Cricetulus griseus: one gene and its partner. Each later gene encodes a partner of the first gene's protein in a complex. Links are inferred from orthologs where the notes say so. Each region holds a gene or a part of one and is shown on either strand. Other genes may lie near its edges.

What was found.
Region 2: Nup153 (region 1) and Cetn3 share a complex: the UniProt entries of both Homo sapiens proteins name them as parts of the nuclear pore complex. The link is inferred for Cricetulus griseus from reciprocal best matches to the Homo sapiens genes NUP153 and CETN3.

The regions. Positions count from the first base shown.
Region 1 is NC_048596.1:266,416,780-266,420,341, forward strand, and holds part of Nup153 (nuclear pore complex protein Nup153), read right to left. Parts: intron 2,763-3,562; coding exon 2,537-2,762; intron 1-2,536. UniProt on the Homo sapiens protein: Component of the nuclear pore complex (NPC), a complex required for the trafficking across the nuclear envelope. Functions as a scaffolding element in the nuclear phase of the NPC essential for normal nucleocytoplasmic transport of proteins and mRNAs.
Region 2 is NC_048595.1:302,231,432-302,235,626, forward strand, and holds the start of Cetn3 (centrin-3), read left to right. Parts: upstream 1-1,353; 5' UTR 1,354-1,471; coding exon 1,472-1,488; intron 1,489-2,684; coding exon 2,685-2,820; intron 2,821-4,195. UniProt on the Homo sapiens protein: Plays a fundamental role in microtubule-organizing center structure and function. As a component of the TREX-2 complex, involved in the export of mRNAs to the cytoplasm through the nuclear pores.

The DNA.
Region 1 (3,562 bases):
CCGTAGCATCATCTTCTATAGTTTTTCCTCCATAATTTGCATTTAAAATACACAAAGATAAACAATGCAATCTACCTAATAAACCTAGTAATTTAATGAATAAAATCTAAGCTCCTACTAATTCCATTATAAGACAACACACATAGTTAAAATTTTACAGATATAAAATTAGAAACTCAGGCTACTTATTCCTTACTAATATGCTCATCAAACTGGGAAAGGGCCTTCTGCTACTATAGATACACTAGTGCTTACCAGAAATCTCATCAAAAGACAGAAAGCCTGGGCCCCATTTGATGGCAAGAAAGTTCAGTTGAAGCAATCACCTTAGAGATCTACCAGATAAAGCCTCAATAGTGTTGCTGATAACATTTGAAAAGAAATTGTGAAAAGTTCAGATATCAAAATTCAAGTTATCAGGGCTGGAGAGATGGCTCAGTGGTTAAGAGCACCGACCGTTCTTCCATAAGTACTGAGTTCAATTCCCAGCAACCACAATGGTAGCTCACAAACACCTTGAATGAGATCTGGTGCCTTCTGCTGGCATGCAGGCAGAAGACTGTATACATAAAAAAATAAATAAAATCTTAAAAAAAAAAAAAATTCAAGTTATCCTAAAACCAGCAAAAGAGAGTAGTGCTGCACACCTTTAATCCCAGCATTCAGGAGGCAGGGGCAGGTAGATCTCAGTGAGTTCAAGGCCAGCCTGGTCCACAGAGCAAGTTAGAGGACAGTCAAGGATCCACAGAGAAATCTTGTCTCGAGCCCTCACCCCAAAATGTGTACAATGGCAGCCCCCAAAAAACAAAGACTATACCAAACTGAGTACTATTGGTACTGGTTTACATCAACTTGACCAAAACTGTAGTCGTTTGGGAAAAGGAAACCTCAACTAAGAAAATGCACCCACCAGAGTGGCCTATGGGCAAAGCTTATTGTGCATTTTCTTTCGTTTTGGTATTTTGTTTGGGCGGGTGGTCAAGACAGGGTTTCTCTTGGAACTCAAGATATCCACCTGCCTTTGCTTCCAGAGTGCTTGGATAAAAGGCATGCACCACCATGCCCAGCTAATGCATTTGCTCCCTTGATGGTGTGGGAAGGCCCAGCTCACCATGGGCAGTGTCATCCCTGGGAATGGTGGTCCTGGGTACAATAAGAAAGCAAGCTGAGGGCTGGCGAGATGGCTCAAAGGTTAAGAGCACTGACTGCTCTTCCAGAGGTCCTGAGTTCAATTCCCAGCAACCACATGGTGGCTCCCAACCACCTTGAATGAGATCTGGTACCCTCTGCTGGCATGCAGGCAGAAGACTATATACATAATAAATAAATAAAATCTTTTAAAAAAATTTAAAAATAAAAATAAATTATTATTTTGTGCTTCTGTGCACATGGGACAGCATGCCTCTCTCTCTCTCTCTCTCTCTCTCTCTCTCTCTCTCTCTCTCTCTCTCTCTCTCTCTCTCTCTGTGTAGATCAATGGACAACTGTGGTGGAGTCAGTTCTCTTTCCTTTGACACGGGTTTCCCAGACATTGAACTCAAGTCCCCTTTATCTACTGATCCATCTTATCAAACTGTACTAGTTTTTTTGTTCATTAAGGGAAACTGATAAATCAGTGAAAACTAAGACTTGCAGCTTAAACTTTTATAATTTCAGTACTTTGTGGCTTTTGGCAAGAAGATGCTGCAAAAATATTTATCTTTCTGTGCATATTCCACTGTTTTGGGAGAGGGTTGGAGGGTAGAAGATGAGGATGGTATGTTAAGCAAGGCCCTACCACTGACCTAGTTAATGTGGTTTTGTTTTTACTGTGTTTTGATAAATTTTGCTAGAAAAAAAATTTTTGGACTGACATAGATGTGTGCCTTGTGACAGTTGGTGTAATTAGTAATGTATATTCCTATCTAGTTGGCCTATAAAGAGAAACAGTAAGATGGGCTTGTAAGAATGGTTACTTAGAAGAAAATTATACATCTAGTGTTCTTAGTGTCATAGTTAAGGTTTGCATTGCTGTGATAAACACCACAACCAAAATCAATTTAGAGAAAGGGTTGATTTCATCTTACAGCTTACATCATCCAGGGAAGTCAAGGCAGAAGCCTGGAAGCTGAGTTCATGGAGGAATATTGATTGCTTCCTGGCTTACTCCCCAGGGTTTTCTCAGCTTGCTCTTTTTAAAGATTTCTATTTTATTTACTTATTATGTATACAACATTCTGCTTCCATGTATATCTGCACACGAGAAGAGGGCACCAGATCTCATTACAGATGGCTGTGAGCCACCATGTGGTTGCTGGGAATTGAACTCAGGACCTCTTGAAGAGCAGTCAGTTCTCTTAACCACTGAGCCATCTCTCCAGCCCCACAAAATAATTTAAGACTGCTAAATAAAACATACTCACTTTAAAACTGATTCCATATACACACAGGATTTATACATCACTCAATTGGATTGCTCCATAGCCAGGTAATATAAAGATCTTAAAATTAAGACACGAAAATCTGATTTGTCACCAAATATCCACACTCTATTTACCTTCTGTGTTACTGCCTGCTGGCTCAGGAGTAATTCTCCCATCATCAATGTTCGTGTTGTCCTCACCAGTATAAATTACATGCTCATCTTCTCTATTTTCCGGCCAGTGTGGAACTTCACCTGCATCTGCTGAACAGCTACACGCATTTTCACTCTTGTTGAAATATCTTTGTAACCACCCTGGAACAATATTCTTAACAGATTCCGTAACCCTGCTAAGAATGCCCTGTTGGAAAAAACATAAATAAGACTATTTTATAGAAAATCTATCTTTGTCATTAAGTACATATAGACAGTCATGCCAAGCAAAAAACACAAGTGTTTCCAACAAAATTTACTAAAACTCAGTTCATCACATTATGGCATCATACTGTTTTTATGAACCAACAACTAACCAAGATCTAGATTTAGTAATAGGCAGTAAATGTTTTCATCCTTCTGTACCTTAGAAGGTTAAAAGACACAATATAAACCATTTCAACTATTATTTTGTGTCACATTCTTCAAAAGACAAAAGCTGGAGATACAGTTCAGCTGGTGGAGTGCTTGCCTCTTGTGCTTAAGGCCTGGGTTTAGATTCCTCAGCACTACAAAAATGAGAAAATAATTAAACAGAGCAAGAAGAATCCCTCTTAAAATAGGAAATAAGAAAACTAATCCAATGTAATTCAAACTCAAGAAATAACCTAAGACCTCTTTTTGGTGGTAAAATCTTTTATATTATGAAATCTTTCCTTTAAAAATCTGAGAAATTAAGCTTAGGATGGCAACTTCTAAAGGAAAAACAATGACATAATACTACAGCTGACATTCATTACAGCTATAGTGGGATCTGGGCACTCTTTTAAGCAATTTTCAAATATCTGTAAGTTTAATACAATCACTTTATATAGTGAGAATTCGGCACTTCATGAATGAAAAGACACAGCTCCACAGTACTGTTTGTCTATAAGGGCAAGACCCTGGGCTCATTCCCCAGTGCCATAAGAAAACCAAGGCATGAGAGAGACAATGCCATTAAGTAGC
Region 2 (4,195 bases), on another chromosome or scaffold:
AGTGATTTCATTTTATGTATTAGAAACATCAAGTTTATAAGTGTGTGTGTGTGTGTGTGTGTGTGTGTGTGTGTGTGTGTGTTTGTGCCACAGTCATGGCACCTGTAGTCAGTAGACAACTTTTTGGGGTTGGTCTCTTATTCCACTATGAGTTTCTAGCAGGTTGCAGGTGGTGGAGATCAGACTGGTATAGAAGTGCTTTTAACCAATGCACTATCTTTGCTGGTCTGTTTAAACTTCCCTTTTAAAGGCGTAACTAAGTAGTAATAGTTTGTTTCTTTTACTTCCCAGGAGTCTGAAATTTATGTGTTGTAAGAATAAGCTTAATATTAAATGAGAGCATTTTTATCGATTTATTATTTCTATCAAGTTCCTTTGAAAAAAATCATCTCACATTACCAGGCAGTGGTGATGCATACCTTGAATTCCAGCTCGTGGGAGACAGAGACAGGAGGATCTCTGAGTTTGAGGTCAGACTGGTCTAAAGACTTGCAGGATATCCAGGGATGTTAACACTGAGAAACCCTGTCTCAAAAAAGCAACAACAAAAACAAACAAAAATTGTCTTGTTATTTTTCTGTAATTTATTCCTTCTAATTTAATTTTGTCCTTTGTTTCAAACATCTTCATGTAAATGGTTTATTTTCAGATTATCTAATAATTTAATATTTAATAATACCAGGTATTTTATTTGGTGCAAACATTCGGTTAAATGGAAAGTAGACTCCTGACTTTGATGCCATTCAGTTTAGCAGGTGAATGATCCAGGTGAGCTTCAGGAGGCCTGGTGGGTAATGAAGACCATGGGCACATAAACAGTGTTCAGCACTAGAAAATACAGGACAGAAGCAAACAAATACATCTCAAATCGCACACAAGTTGAAAACGGTGGTTTAGGTAGTTTTTCTGTAAATAAACTAACAGACCAACATAATGATGAGCCTACTTTAGTTTGTCTTCGGCCTTGGTGGTGCACATCTTTAATCCCAGCACTTGGGAGGCAGAGGCAGGCGGATCTCTGCGGTTGAGGCCAGCCTGGTCTACAGGGTGAATTCTTGGAATCACTTGGAAACGTTGAAAAGGGAAAACACTTGGTGGCTTAGTAGTTACTGAAATAAGAATGGAGAACAAAGCCCTCAGATTTACGTTTTGACCTTCTGAGTGGCAAGGGCTGGATCCCCAGTGACTGCTTGTGCTGAGCATTTTCCCTTCCCCCCCCAGAGCGCCCGAACCCAGCGTGGTGACTGACACCGGCAGCAGGGCCAAAGGTACTTGATTGACACGAACGGTGACCAATGAGAACAGAGGGCCGGCGAGGCTCCCGCCCCAATGGGCCGACTATTGGCAGTCTTCAGCCAATCGCAACCAGAAATCTCTGTTTGGTGGGTGGTCCCGCGGCCGGGAGGTTGGTGGCTGTTGAGCGGTTCCCGTGGAAAAGTCCTTGGGCGGAACATCTTGGCCGGAAGAGAAAATGAGTTTAGCTTTGAGGTCGGTAACGAGGAGGCCGTGTGTCCATTCCGCAGAGGGCCAGGGCGGGCGCGGAAGGGAAGCCGGGCCGGGCGCGGGTGCAGAGCGCCGAGCATCACGGCGGTGCGGCCCTTTTCTGCGGACTGCGCCGGCGCCGCATCGGGAGCCCAGTCTCGCGAGGTTTCCCTCCTGCGTGTGAGGAACTCGGGCCTGGCGGCCTCCTTCCTTAGGACAAGCGTGGGACAGCCAGGCTCTCTCCGCGGTCGAGGCGCCCTGTGCGTCGGCCGCCCCGGCGGATCTGGTGCCCTTGATTTCCGCCATTCTCGTCCAGGCACCCACCTGGCCCACTGGCTCCCATTGGCTCCTCACCCTGTCCATCTTCACGTGCAGGCGCTGTAGAGTGGGTAGACGCTGATGGCCCGGCGGGGGTGTGGCCCGGCGTGGGTGTGGCGGGCGGCCACCTCTGCTCAGCCCCTGCCAGCCTTCTGCCCTTCAGGTGTAAAGAGCCTACACACTCAGCCGTGTTTCAGGCTTTCAAGCTTCCATTTCTTAAAACCTAGCGGATACACGTGTTGTGCCTCATTTAAACATTGGCAGTCTTTAAGGCAGACGTTTTTGGCCCTAAATCCCTTTTTAGATGTTCTTTTACGCTTCTCCAGAGTTTTTAAATGAAGACGTTTAACCCATTGTTTATAGGTTGAGACTGACAACACTTTTAAACATCACACAGACTCAAATAGGAACATTATATGCTATTATTTTGGTCGTCTAGTATTTGTTTAGGTGCTTTTATATTTTGGCTGGTTAATATGGAATGAAAACACAAAGCACTGTTAGAAATGTATAATCTGAAAGCATTTTGAACTTGCAGTGTTAAAGTGACTCACCTTATAAGCTTTATGGTTAATCTTTGTAGTAATTGTGAGAATTTAATTAGAAGCTGTCCAAGGTAAACCATATATCGTGGTTGTCATTTGTGAAATTTACTTTCACATGGATTTTTATATTTGTTTTCATGCTCTTGGTAGGTAACATGAATAACAACTAATAGTGCTTTGGATTTTGGTATATAAAAGTACATTTGGAGTACAAGACGTTGACTTAGGGACAGCTTCTTTATTCTCCAGACTATTCTGCTTTGTTGAAGTTTAGAAAACCATTCTTTGTTCTAAGTGAGTTGGGTTGAAGTGGACTAAACACATTTTCCTGTGTCACAGAAGTGAGCTTGTAGTAGACAAAACAAAGAGAAAAAAACGAAGAGAGCTCTCTGAAGAACAGAAGCAAGAAATTAAAGATGCCTTTGAGCTCTTTGATACCGACAAAGACCACGCAATAGATTATCATGAATTAAAGGTAACAGTGTATTTGATGACACATCTCTTTTGTTTAAATGAATTGCACTTTTGACTGTTGCTTTAAAGTCTATTTTAAAAACTTGTTTTAGAACCCTGAAGCTGTTTTCAGTATCCACTTACAGGGGCTGCAATAAAATTGAATAAAAAACCCTAATATGGCTTTTAGAAACTCGTATTTAAATGTAAAAGTACATTTGGTGGGAAGTAAGGCTTTTTCATTCACCCAGGTGAAAGAACAGTTCTTAGCTTATTCTTCCCATTTTTGGTTTCTTCTGGAGGACGGAGTAGCTCAGATTCTTTAAAAAAAACATGTATGTGGCATGTGCATGTGCATGTGCCTGTGCAGGCATGTAAACCACATTGTGTAGTGTGTGGAAGGCAGAGTGGGGCTTTGTGTATCTTTCATCACCATCTACCTTACTGCCTGGAGACAGGGCACCTCACTGAATTGGAAGCTCATAGCCTAGGTTGGCTAGAGAGTGAACTCTGGAATCACATCCCGATCTACCCCTCAATGCTGGGGTTACGGACACTTGTAGCCATGCCTGTCTTTATGTGGGTGGTTACAGTTCCAGTTCTGGTCCTCGTGAGTGCAGGACAAGCGCTCTTATCCACTGAGCTATCACTTAAGCACAGCACAGACAATTTTCAGATTGAGAGAGTGTTACCTTTGCTCAGATGTTTCCGAGATTGAAAATGTATCCTTTCAAGCTTTTATTATTTATCTTTATTTTATATTTTTGTTGGACAAGGTTTCTTTATGTAACAGCCCTGGCTGTCCTGGAACTCAGCTTTGTAGACCAGATTGACCGAGAACTCAGATTTGTTTGCCTCTGCCTCCCAAGCGCTGGGATTAAAGGCATGCAACACCACCACCTGGCTCAATCTTTGAATTTTCAAAGATAATACGGACAAACTCTTATTTTTCTTTTCTTTGCTACAAAGGATGTACATTGTCTGATGCCTTATGTTGATACATGCTGAGGGACTATGTCAAATTTAAGGCTTAAAATTACTAGTAAAGGAGCTGGGCGGTTGTGGTGCACACCTTTAATTCCAGCACTTGGGAGGCAGAGGCAGGCGGATCTCTGTGAGTTTGAGACCAGCCTGGTATACAAGTTCCAGGACAGCCTCCAAAGCCACAGAGAAACCCTGTCTCCAAAAACAAAAACAAAAACAAACAAACAAACAAAAAATCCAAAACTACTAGTAAAGATTGGAGAAATTGGTGAGGATCTTATTCAGTCTACTAGCATTTATGAAATCTTTTAGTAGCCTTAATGTTTATAGTAGTTTTAATTCGGCAACATTGTAGGGGGGTTTTAAGCAATCTAAGTATGGGTAGGAACTATGTAGTGAGAGGATAGAATGTC